Cricetulus griseus: one gene and its partners. The protein of the gene in region 2 interacts with the protein of the main gene of each other region in a biochemical or structural test. Links are inferred from orthologs where the notes say so. Each region holds a gene or a part of one and is shown on either strand. Other genes may lie near its edges. The genes, in order: Ranbp2, Rangap1 and Uspl1.

Region 1 (3,637 bases), on a different chromosome or scaffold from region 2:
TTTAGCAAGGAGACAGTAAACTACTAAAAAATGCTTAAAGAATACCTTTTGCTATAAAATACCATCTAAACTGTTTTATTGTGGAGTCGAGGGTTTTTGGTGTTTTTTTTTTTGGCAGATTTTAATGAGAATACAAAATCTAGCCAGTCGGAAAAGAAACACCAATTTAAGTTAAATAAATTAAAATAAAATAAACACATTCTAAAATGTATCAAATATCTTATAAAATACTTCAAGCTTCTTTTAAACTTCTTTGTAGGAGCTCAATAGCTTAGCCATTAAGAACACTGACAGCTCTTCCAGAAGACTTGAGTTCCATTCCTAGAACCCAAATGATGGCTCACAACCTGGTAACTCAACAGGTTGGAAACACCTGTTATTGATGCCAATCCTGGAAAAATTAGCTTAACACACCATTTTGTCAAGTTTTTGTCAAGGTCTTTAATAACCCTAATAGTTTGAAAAAGTAAAATTATCTCTTAAAAAGCATTTGCAACCATGCATAGTGGGTACATGCCTACAATCCTGGTGGAGGTAGTGAGATCAAGAAGAGTTCAAGTCCAGCCTAGGCTACAATGCAAGGTAATCCTGGGCTACAAGAGATGATTTTTTAAGAAGACATTTCCATTTACTGAGAAGTTTCAATACTTTTCTGTGGGTTAATGTTACACAGGTTTCCAAAGAAGCTATTAAGTATGCATGGCCATGTTTAATAAGGCCAACTTATTCCACCTGGCTGTGAAATAAGAATTTTTTAAAGTAATGTTATTTCATAATTCATTACATAAGCCATAACCTTCCTTGCCCTCTTCTAATAGTTGAACACAAGAAAATAGAAAGGACTCAATACTCAAGATTGGAAAACAGAGAATTTTATGGTCTAACTAGATTCCTTTTAGTTCTATACCGAGTAGGCCCCTCAGAGCAAGCTGTTCCTAACAGTTTGCCTATTTGACACAAACCACATCCAAGTACATTTTCAGTGTCATTTTGATGACACAGTGTGAGCTCAGAGTGCTGGCCTTCAACAGATCTCATTTTACATCAAGTCACAGAAGGAACAGACAACTTAGATGCACAAGTAATGTTTTAAATGTCATGGCTGTTATCAATTATCACTTTATTTCTGCTACAAAATTCACCAGAAAAAGGTACTGCAACAATCTAATATAAAGCAAATCTTTAACCAAAGAACATGGTATAGATCTTTTAAAAATATTCATAGTTTATCACAAGAACTAGAGAAAAATTCAATTCTATCATCAGGACCAAGCTGAAGTTTCTGAGGTAGTAGAGACAGGTAACAGAATAGTGAATGGAAAGAAGGAAGAAAAAAGGAAGAAGGAAAAAGGATGGGGGGCTATATCTAAGGAAATGATCAACTTACTTAAAATGTAAAAATTAATGTCTTCAAAAGGGAACTACATATCTTAAGAAAAGATAGTATTCTACTTAAAAGTTAATTTTTAACTATACAGGAGCATAAAAATTACAGAAGAGCACTTTGGTTAACTCATCTTCTGTGGCTCTATCCATTCATAAATGAGTCTATACATAAATGAGCACACGAATAGTTAAGATTACCATATATATATTTCAAATCTAAAATAAAATTATCTGAGTTGTGGTCCCCTTATTCAATGGTAAGTACCATGCAGGAAATCCAAATATCTTAACAGAAATTAAAATAAGATTGCATATATCATATTCCTTCAATAGTGTGAGAAGCTCTATTGCTTTCAACAAAATTAGTATTAGCCATTCTAATACAGATATGTCAGGAGTACATAAACACAAGTACACCTGAAATACACCAGTGTTTAACTTTTATTTCACACCATGCAAGATCAATTATCACACATTAAAAAGTGACAACAGCTATAAGCTACAATTTTACATTTATACATTGGAAATGTCTGTTTTCAAAAGGTGAACATAATTATCATATTGTCTGTAACAATTCAACTGTTTATATAGATAAAATTCACTGTGAAATTATTTTATAGCTGTCCACATTCTGTGATACTAATTCTTCGACTAACAGACCCTTTAGGAGAACCAAACGATTCGATCTTTCTCACAGTATCCATGCCATCCTTAACAAACCCAAATACTACATGTTTAAAGTCCAAATGTTCTGCTTTCTTCAGTGTTATAAAAAACTGTGAATTGTTGGTATCCCGGCCCCGATTGGCCATGGAGAGCAAGCCAGGGCCAGTGTGCTTCACATTAAAGTTTTCATCTTCAAATTTATCTCCATAAATGGACTGTCCTCCTGTTCCATCATGTTTGGTGATATCTCCCCCCTGGACACACACACAAAAAAATCTGTTAATACTGACTCAAACATTAAGATACATTGAAATCATCATGACAGAGTAAATCACAAATGCCCTATTTCGTTAAAAGTAATTTTGAAAAATAAGAAATACGTGTTTTGAGAAAGACAAAGGTTTTTCCCTCATAAGAAATTTGGAGCCTTTCAATCTGAATGTTTAAAGGGAGTATCAAGTTCAATGCCAGCCAGCTATGGTGTGGGAAAGTTGAAAATTCCCAAGATGAGAATGAGGGCAAAACCTTCCCCAGTTGGTGTGGTCTAGTCTTAGCCGATTTAACCATGATTTTATATATATATATATATATATATATATATATATATATATATATATATATACTAGACACTTACTTGGCAAACAAAATCTGGAACTACTCGGTGAAAAATAGAGTTCTTGAAACCAAAGCCCTTCTCTCCAGTGCATAATGCTCTGAAGTTCTCAGCAGTTTGAGGAACGATATTTGAAAATAATTCCATAATTATCCGTCCTAGAGGTTCACCATCCACACAAACATCAAAGAATACCACAGGATTGGTCTCCTTTGATAACTCTGCTGCGAGGGATACTTGTCCATTTTGGAGTTTCAATATATTTTGTTGACATTCTTCAAATTTTCTCTTAAAACACTCAGTCATTTCTTTTGTTTTAAATCTCACCGCAAGCTGTTCTACTTTTGCTTCTCCATCTGTTAAGAGGGGGGGGAGGGGCTTAATATTAACTTACAAAGCATGTATATGTTATAGATTTCAGAAAAGTCAATAAAATTAAAAGACAATTGAAGGTAGTAACTCACCAGCATAATCTGAGGCAGTCCACACTAAAGCATTATTTGAAACATTTAAAGGTTTTAATTCCATGGCTTTGGTAATAACATGGTTTGCACAAACTTTAAAAACCTGGTCTCTTCTCATTAGGATCCGATAATAATTCTTCATTGTATGCCAAAGAATCTTTATATCTCCAATACCTCTCTCCTTCCACTGATTGACATCTCTATCCCATCTATAAAGTTTGGCTCTCTCTTTGAATAAAATTTCTTCATCTTCTTCTCCAGATTTCACTTCTACCTATGACAACAGATGAGAATACCTATTATATAACACTGTTTATAACAAATACCATTAACCAATGCCAACAGGTTTTACAGTATCATGGTAACTAACAATGTCCAAGACTAGACTTGGTAAAGCAATAAAGATCAATACGTATCTTCCTATTATATAATATTTTGCTTCTCTTTGTGAAAATAAAATGGCTTTAAAGTTCAGAAGAGGTTTCAAAAGTGCTGGTTCTTGTCAAGC
Region 2 (4,500 bases):
GCTCTGGGATGACCTTGCCCACAGCTTAGGCAGCACCAGAGGATGCGGGGATGATGTTCTGGGCTGCCCCATGGCCATCATATCACAGCTTCCCGGAGGGGCCATCCACAGATTTCTGGGTGGCAGTGATGGTATGGACTGTGGTCCTGAGTCCTTCCACAATGCCAGAGTGGTCATGGATGACCTTGGCTGGGTGGCTAACAGTTGGTGGTGTGGGAGCATTGCTGACAATCTTGAGTGAGACATCACAAACATGGAGGCTTCAGCAGAAGAAGCAGAGATGATGACCCTTTTGGCTCCACCCTTTTCTAGTGGGTCCTGGCCTTCTCTGTGGTGGTGAAGACCCCAGTAGACTCCACAGCATCACCCCAATTTATGTTGGTGGGATCTCGCTTGTGGAAGAGAATGATGGCCTTCCCATTGATGACAAGCTTGTTGTTCTCAGCCTTGACTGTGCTGTTGAAGTTGCCATGGATAGAGTCATACTGGAATGTGTAGACCATATAGTTGAAGTCAATGATGGCAACAACATCCATTGGTCAGAAATGAAGGCAGTTCTAGTTACCAGGCCCCCTAATATCGCCAAATCCATTCACCCCGACCTTCACCATCATGTCTTAGGGACAAGGCTGGCACTGCACAATAAGATTTGGCTGTGCATTTTTATTTTTTGTACATTTGTGTTTTGCCTACATAAATGTCTGTGTAGGGGTGTCAGGTTCCCTGTAACTGAGTTGCAGACAGCTTTGAGCTGCCATGTGGATGCTGGGAATGGAACCTGGGTCCTTTGAATGAGTAGCCAGTGCTCTTTACTGCTGAGCCATCTCTTCAGCCCCACAAGATTCTTTTTTAATGCAGCTTCTGTCTTCAGTTTGCAGGTCTCCCAGGCAGCCCACAATTGTTGCCAGCATGGCCTCTGAAGACATTGCAAAACTGGCAGAGACCCTGGCTAAAACCCAGGTGGCCGGAGGACAGCTGAGTTTTAAGGGCAAGAGTCTCAAATTGAATACTGCCGAAGATGGTGAGTTCCTGGGCTAGCTGTGTGAGGGGTGGGGGTGTTTGTGAATGCTTACTAGTTAGTCCTCGGGCTTTCTGAGCCATCTCAGTCTTGATCATTTGTCCTGGGAGGTGAAGTCAGTGCCATTGGTCCATTCTAACAGTGAGGCTTCTTCTGTTACTTTGTGTGTGTGTGTGTGTGTGTGTGTGTGTGTGTGTGTGTGTGTGTGTGTGTGTGTTTGCTAGCCTGTGGATTTTTCTTTTCACAGGGTTTCATCAATGTATAGCCTAGACTAGTCTTAAGCTTGTCTGTCTAGCCTAGCCCCTGACTTCAGGGCTGAGTTCTTCCCACCCCTACCTTTATCCTCACCATCCCAGGCCAACTGTCTTCCTTGTGGCAGAGTTGCATTAAAAAAGAGTGGTGTTGGGGTGGTGGTGGCGCACGCCTTTAATCCCAGCACTTGGGAGGCAGAGGCAGGCGCATCTCTGTGAGTTTGAGGCCAGCCTGGTCTCCAGAGCGAGTGCCAGGATAGGCTCCAATGCTACACAGAGAAACCCTGTCTCGAAAAACAAAAGGAAGAAAGGAAGGAAGGAAGGAAGGAAGGAAGGAAGGAAAGAAACCCTGTCTCAAAAAAAAAAGAAAGAGAGGACTGGAGAGATGGCTCAGAGGTTAAGAGCACCAACTGCTCTTCCAGAGGTCCTGAGTTCAATTCCCAGCAACCACAGGGTGGCTCACAACCATCCGTTATGAGATCTGGTGCCCTCTTCTGGTGTGCAGATATATATGGAAGCAGAATGTTGTATACATAATAAATAAATAAAATCTTTTAAAAGAAAAAGAAAAAAGTGTGGTGTTGGGCCCTGATGGGGAATTCCAGTCCTTGAAACCAGACATCACTAGGACAGAGAGAGTTCCTGTCTTCCCACTCATGATCAAAGCTTAGGCAGCACAGACAACCCAGAATCTCTTGCTGCCTAGAAATGAAAGTATCTGCCTTCAGACCTTGTGAGGCCTCTTTGAGTTCTGGCCCAACCAGGGAAACTGGTTTGGACTTCCTATATTGTTTCATGCACTATTAAACTTATTCTCTTCCTCCAGGGGACTTTGGGAACCTCAGAAGGGTGGGGATGTCCATACCTTGAAATGCACAGATTCCTCTATGAATACCAACCCCTAACTTCACCTGCTTTGTTTATTTTGGTTCCATATTTATTTGTTGTGGGTTTTTTGTTTGTTTTGTTGAGTGGATGAGGCTAGCCTTGAACTCATAAAGATCTTCTGCCTCTTGAGTGCTGAGATTAAAGGCATTCACCACTAGATCTGACCTATAGTTGTTTTTCTGAGACAGGGTTTCTCTGTGTAGCCTTGGCTGTTCTGGAACTCACTCTGTAGACCAGGCTGGCCTCATACTGGCTGAATAGCAGAGAATGGCCTGATCCGCCTGCTTCTACACTCATTTGCTGGGATTTGTATTATCATCTCTGTGGGAGGAGGGTAAAAATGCTTCTTCTATAATTGAGACTAAGTCACTCATTCAAGATCACAAGTTTCTTTTTTTCCTTCGAGATTTATTTATGTATAGTGTTTTGTCTGCCTGTATGCCTGCAGGCCAAGAAGGGGCTCCAGATCTCATTACAGATGGCTGTGAGCCACCATATGGTTGCTGGGAATTGAATTCAGGACCTCTAGAAGAACAGCCCTCTTAACCTCTGAGCCATCTCTCCAGACCCCCTCCCCCCCGTTTTTTTTTTTTTTTTTTTTTTTTTTTTTTTTTTTTTTTTAGATTTATTTAGCCAGGTGGTAGCTAAATAATCCCAGTACTCAGAAGACAGAGGCAGGCAAATATCTGTGAGTTTGAGGCCAGCCTGGTCTACAAAGTTACACAGAGAAACCCAGTCTCAAAAACACAAAAACTAACAAATAAGATTTATGTATTTCTTTTGTATACCGTATTTTGCCTGCATGTATGCTTGCAGGCCAGAAGAGGGTGCCAGATCTTACTACAATTGGTTGTGAGCCACCATTTGGTTGCTGGAAATTGAACTCACGACCTCTGGAAGAGCAGACAGTGCCTTTAACCACTGAGCCATCTCTCCAGCACTCAAGATTACAGATTTTACAGATAGCAAGATTACTGATGTTCAGCTGAATTCTCTGTTCCCATGTTTTTGAATAGACACTGATCTTAATTCAGTAAATACAAATTTGAAAACACATGCTGCTTATTGGGCCAGAGAGATGGCTCAGTGGATAAAGGCACTTTCATACCTGAGTTGAGTTGCTGGAACCATGTGCTAGCAAAGAACTGACCCCTGCAAGTTGTTCTCTGACCTCCATGCTTGTGTGCACTCACACAACACAGTAAATAATGAATATATGTGGTTTTTTCCCTTTAGAAGGCTTTATCCCCATTTTGCAGATTTGAAAACCGAGGACATGACAAAACTCCCTTAAGGGCATAGTCACTACCTCATAGTAGTAGAGGTAGAATTAAAATCAAGTTTTGGGCTTAGGATGCAGTTCAGTGTACCTGTATGTACAAGGCCCTGGATTTGATGCCTAGCACTACAGAGAGCAGACAGAGACCCTGAGTTTGGCTTTGATACTCTGGTGGCTAATTTTTCCACCTCACTAGCATTATATTAGGTCAATAGGAATGCCCACCTTACCTCTGAAGAGGAGCTCCTAACTTTGAAGGGGAGTGGGGTACCTAGAAGGCAGAATGTGAGCATCTTTGGGTTTTGAACTAGAGGACCTGAGAAGTGATGGTCACTTTATCTATCTTTGATTTTTTTTTTTTTTTTTAATGTAGTTAGCTGTTGGACAGGGTTTCTCTGTGTAATCCTAGATGTCCTAGAACTTACTTTGTAGACCAGGCTGGCCTCAAACTCTTAGATCCTCTTGCAGCTGCCTCCTGGGTACTAGGGCATCACCATGCCTGGCCCTGCCCTTTTATAAGTTTTCTTGAACAGCCATCTGAGAAGGCTAGCCTGCTGACTTTAGAGGGGGGCCACCTTTTGGAGCAAGTCTTGCAAAAGGCAAAGAGATCACCCCAGCCATTGTCCTCAGGAAAGCTATAGAGGCACAGGCATCGAAGCAAGAGAATCAAAATTTCAAGGTCATTCTTGACTATATAGTAAACTTCAAAACCTGACTGAGCTACCGGGAGACCCTATCTTTAAAAACCATAAAATCAAAAAGGAAACTTCCTATTCATAATGTGTGTAGTGCTAACTGATTAACATCACAATGAATAGCTTGTACTTGCTTGAACATGAAGAATGGTCGGCACAGCCCTAACTAGGCTAGGAGCCTGTCCCATCCTCCTGTGTCCGTGGGTGTGTGGTGGGAATGGAATGTGCTAAGATGCTTCTGAGTTGCTCCTGCCCCAGTGGTTCATGACTGCCAAAACCTGAGGTGCTCTGTTCGCACAGCTAAAGACGTGATTAAGGAGATTGAAGACTTTGACGGCCTGGAGGCTCTGCGACTGGAGGGTAACACAG
Region 3 (4,500 bases), on a different chromosome or scaffold from region 2:
AAAGACAACTATTAAAATACACTTGGTAGTTGCAGATGTTTGCAGCACATGCTTGGGTAATGAAACCTGTTGTCTACCTTCTGGTCCTTCCATCACAACAGTTGCTGTCCATGTTTTAGGCATCTGTAGTTCTGGGCTAGGGAAGGACAGGACCCTGAGAACAGGCTTGGTCTAGTGAGGAGGCGGGAAGCAGTCTGTGGTCTGTGTCCTGGGCCTTGTTAAACCCTGAGGATCAGAAGGAAAGAAACCAGTTGGAATAGGGCTGTAAGAATGGGATTGCCTATTAAACTGCCTTCTTGATCTCAAAGCTAACACTTTTAAGGACAGCAGAATCCCTACCATCTCTAGTCTTAAAGTTGCAGGAGTTTTATGCAAGGATTAGACTAAAGGTTGAGTTAAGTGGGGAGGTTCAAAGTTGGTCCTTTACCCTGTCTATCAAATCTGTTGTGCGCCGTAGAGTTGGTGAGTCCAAATAGAAGTGGTATTTTAATGGTTAAGACCAATTCTGATGCGATTCTCTAATGTTTTCACTAACTTTCAGTATTTGTAGTAAACCATGTTCATGGTTCTTGTTTTAAAGTACAGGGATATAGTTCTGAGGAGTTTCCCTTTCTGACAGGAAGGCAGTAGGAATCTCATGTGTTCTTGGATTATGTTTTCATGACATTTAAAATAGAGACTAGCATAGGAGCTGAGTTTATGCAGGCTGTGTTTGGAGAGCTGTTCTGCCTTCCTCCAGATTCACCTTGATTGACTTACTCTGCCAGGCTATGTTCACACATAGGTGTTGTGTTGTAAACTTGCTGAAGGACACCATTGACCATTTAGTGTTTCCTTTTATAGTTGCCTGTTTCAATCTCTGATCTCTCCTTTTTTCTTTTGCAGGTGAGATGGAAAGTCCTGTGTTTGCATTTCCTGCACTGTTAAAACTAGAACCCCATGTTGAAAAGCTTTTTACATATTCTTTTTCTTGGAATTTTGAATGTTCCAATTGTGGACACCAGTATCAAAACAGGTCAGTTTGGGGTTTTTAGTGAATTCTTTCTGCTGAGATGGTTTGTAACAGTGTAATTAAGTAACACATTTTGCACCTATAATATATGTCTTGGCACTTCTACCTACAATACACCTCCTTTCCCCACCCAGACAAGGTTACAGTATAGCCCAGGCAGAACTTGCTATGTAGCCCAGGTTGGTCAAGGCTTGAGGTTTTCTGCATTGGGATCCAGAATGGTAGAGGTAGAAGCATCATCTATCACCATGTCTTGGATCCCAACACCTTTTTTCTTTTTCCCCTAAGATAGGGTCTTGCTAAGTAACTCAGGCTGACCTCAAATTTGCCACTCTCTTGTCCTAGCCTTCTGGGTTCTGAAAATGGAGGCAAGGATCACAGCTGGCTTCTACATCTTAAACTCTCTCCCCACTAAAGCTAAAAGAACAGTTTGTAGCACAAGAATCTTTTAAGTTGGCTTGTTACTGTAAGTTAGCTCAAAAAAAAAAAAAAAAAAAATCCATGGCTTGAACAATGACTAAAGACATTTTCTGTATTTCCTTAGTGGGAAGTTAGAAGCAAATGAGAATAGCACCCTTCACGATCTGGAAGGTTCTTAGCTGGGCTTCTGCTCACAAGTCCCTGGAACTGTTTTGTTTACCCTCCATTAGAGACAAAGCTTTTGTTTGCTTTAGGCTTCTGTCTCCTCATCTATGGTAGCAGCCAGCAGAGGTTATCCCTGTTTTCTGGTTCAGGAGAGCAGTCAGAGGGTAGGTAAGTACTTATATGACATGCCCTCTCCTTAGTAGACCAGGGAAGATGCTAGCTGCCTGTTAAAAGATGACCTGCCAGCTGGGCAGTGGTGATACACAGCTTTAAACCCAGCACTCAGGAGGCAGAGGCAGTTGGATCTCTGAGTTCAAGGCCAACCTGGTCTACAGAGTGAGTTCCAGGACAGCCAGGACTGTTATACAGAGAAACCTTGTCTCAACCCCCGCCCCCAAAGACAACTTGCCTTGTGGGTGATTCTTAAGAATATTACAGTAGAGATTAGTCCTTCCTGTCACAGCTCACCTATGAGCAAGCTTCAACAGTTAGAAGGTAAAATGGTGTGAGGAAATTGTTTCCTAGATGGCCATGGCCTCACAAGGGTGTTCTGGACAGTATGAAAACAGTCAAAAGAGAGGTCAGTCTGGGAGAATGCTGTAGGGAATGAAGACAGCAAAGTTTGCTTCTTCATCAGTTGCTCTAAGCTGCTAGGAATGGTAGGAATTCACACTATGACTGGAAATATTTGGGTAAGCAAGTGAGTATCCCATTCCTAGCTTTCCATTGATTTGTACAAGTGGTCTGGTTTTCTCATGGAGACTCAGTGAGGAACTCACATCAGTAGCAGAATCAGGAGACCTCTAGCATTGTTTTTTGCCTCTGTGGCTCAATGGTGCTAACCTCCCTAATCACTACCTGTGTTTTTAATAATATAAACAGAGCTGATAATCAAAATCAGCTTAATTACAGCTTTTCTAGAATTCACAGCCTGGCACTTTGACAGCTTTTCATTGAGTGTGTTCTGTGTGCCAGGAGCTCACCTAGCCATTGGGAGTGATTTCTGTTGTGGCTAATTCAGATGACTAGTTGCTTAGCAAAGTAGTTATGAAATCACTGGAGAGGGCTAGTGCTCAGCAGTCAGTGCAAGCTTTTGACAGCTCTGCACTTTTGTACATAAGATGGTAAGTGGGCTTGTGCAGTGTTTGCATGGAGCTCAGAGAGAACTTCAGGGGAAGCTACCAATCACTTTGCTTTGTACCTTGTTTTTATTTCTTTAAAGGTAATTGTTAGTGGCTAGTGGTGGTGCACGTTTTTAATCCCAGCACTCAGGAGGCAGATGCAGGCAGTCTCTGAGTTTTGAGGCCAGCCAGGTCTACAGGGCTAGTTCTAGGACAGCCAGGGCTGTTAACACAGAGAAACCCTGTCTTAAAAAAACACACACATACAATAAGTAATTGTTAAAGTTTCTTTAGAATAATCTTTCATTCTAAAAGAAAAGCAATTACAGAGTCAAAGATAAGATGTGGTGACATGTAATCACTGTACATGGAGGTCACAGATACTCTCTTCTACTTTGACAGAAGCTATTGAGCCTAGTCCTTTCATTTTAGTGTCTCGGGGTTTTGTGCTAGTGTATGTAAGGCTTTTATCTGATTCAGTATTTGTGGGGAGGATAGTCTGTAGAGGCTGGTGGTCTTGATTCAGACCCCAATTTGTCTGCTGCTCATTGTCTATACAGAGGCTAGAACACTTGCCCCTTGAGAGTTGTTTGGCAGGGGAGTGCCAAGTTCTGTGCCTAATGATATGCACACTGATACGCACACTGAGTGCTCAGAAATAAATGTCAATCATCACGTGGAACGTAACATTAATTGAGTCTTTACTTAATAGTATCTCAAAGAATGATACACGTGAAATGCAGTCTGGGCATCCAGAGCAACCTGTCTGTTGCTTTGCATTTAAAAGGTTAGTTTTTCTGCAAACTGGTCAATTGTTAACCGCCAGTGATTTTCTTTGCTCACGTACCATATGCCAATATTATTTGTTATTTAGAGGAGAAAAGCTTGTGTTTCTTTGGCAATATGATACTTGTTTTAATTAAGGTATTTTGTTAAAGTTGATGCAACTGAGATTTAGTGTACACCATTGAAGATCATCTTGATTATGCTGGCAATCTAAAGTGAATTCAGTACTTGAACAACCTGTGTAAAAGCAGAAGTGTTCTACAAGGGATTTTCTTCTAATAGATATGAATTATGTACTTGGAAATACATCTTCTTTGTTGTCAGTGATGGTTAGCCAGTTTGCACTATGTACACTGAGCTTTAAATTGGATAACTTTAGAGAAGTGATGCTCACAAGAGCCTCTGATGCATCCTCTTTGGGTCTCTGGTGGTGTCTAGGGATACTGGTTGCTGCTACTGGGTACTGATCCTGGAATGTGATAAGTCGAGACTAGGATTGACCCTAAAATGTCCAGTGTGCACAGTGGGGCCTCACAATAGTTATCTGCAGTGAAGTTTCAGTAGCATTAGTGCTTGGAAAGCTGCCAGTCACCCTTTTGTGCTTCTCATAGCTGAAAACCCAGTCAGTGTGGAGTCTCCACAGTCTCCAGCTTGGCTGAAGAGGTTATCACTGTACTAATACATGAGTGGGAAATGAAGCACAAGCAAACGTTGAATGTGGTAAATTAATACAAAAGGTTCAAGTTGTGCCTGTTTTTGTAGGTGTTTGAAGAGTCTGGTCACCTTTACAAATGTTGTTCCTGAGTGGCATCCACTCAATGCTGCCCATTTTGGTCCATGTAACAGCTGCAACAGTAAATCACAAATAAGGAAAATGGTGTTGGAAAGGTGAGTTTAAATTTACATAAATTTTCAATACAATGAAGATGGGTTTACATTGTTTCATGTCTTGGAAAGGGAAATAGTGACTACTATCATTTGAAAGAACTGACTGGT

What was found.
Region 1: the proteins of Rangap1 (region 2) and Ranbp2 form a complex in vitro, tested with the Homo sapiens proteins (5 studies listed by BioGRID and IntAct, with this or other methods). The link is inferred for Cricetulus griseus from reciprocal best matches to the Homo sapiens genes RANGAP1 and RANBP2.
Region 3: of the proteins of Rangap1 (region 2) and Uspl1, one has a biochemical effect on the other in vitro, tested with the Homo sapiens proteins (2 studies listed by BioGRID). The link is inferred for Cricetulus griseus from reciprocal best matches to the Homo sapiens genes RANGAP1 and USPL1.

Annotation. Positions count from the first base shown.
Region 1 is NW_023276807.1:2,598,871-2,602,507, forward strand, and holds the end of Ranbp2 (E3 SUMO-protein ligase RanBP2), read right to left. Parts: intron 3,404-3,637; coding exon 3,130-3,403; intron 3,022-3,129; coding exon 2,687-3,021; intron 2,307-2,686; coding exon 2,001-2,306; 3' UTR 1,100-2,000; downstream 1-1,099. UniProt on the Homo sapiens protein: E3 SUMO-protein ligase which facilitates SUMO1 and SUMO2 conjugation by UBE2I. Involved in transport factor (Ran-GTP, karyopherin)-mediated protein import via the F-G repeat-containing domain which acts as a docking site for substrates.
Region 2 is NC_048595.1:378,861,548-378,866,047, reverse strand, and holds part of Rangap1 (ran GTPase-activating protein 1), read left to right. Parts: exon of another isoform or gene 1-536; intron 537-871; exon of another isoform or gene 872-878; 5' UTR 879-909; coding exon 910-1,021; intron 1,022-4,431; coding exon 4,432-4,500. UniProt on the Homo sapiens protein: GTPase activator for RAN. Converts cytoplasmic GTP-bound RAN to GDP-bound RAN, which is essential for RAN-mediated nuclear import and export. Mediates dissociation of cargo from nuclear export complexes containing XPO1, RAN and RANBP2 after nuclear export.
Region 3 is NC_048597.1:85,015,608-85,020,107, forward strand, and holds part of Uspl1 (SUMO-specific isopeptidase USPL1), read left to right. Parts: intron 1-885; coding exon 886-1,015; intron 1,016-4,266; coding exon 4,267-4,392; intron 4,393-4,500. UniProt on the Homo sapiens protein: SUMO-specific isopeptidase involved in protein desumoylation. Specifically binds SUMO proteins with a higher affinity for SUMO2 and SUMO3 which it cleaves more efficiently. Also able to process full-length SUMO proteins to their mature forms.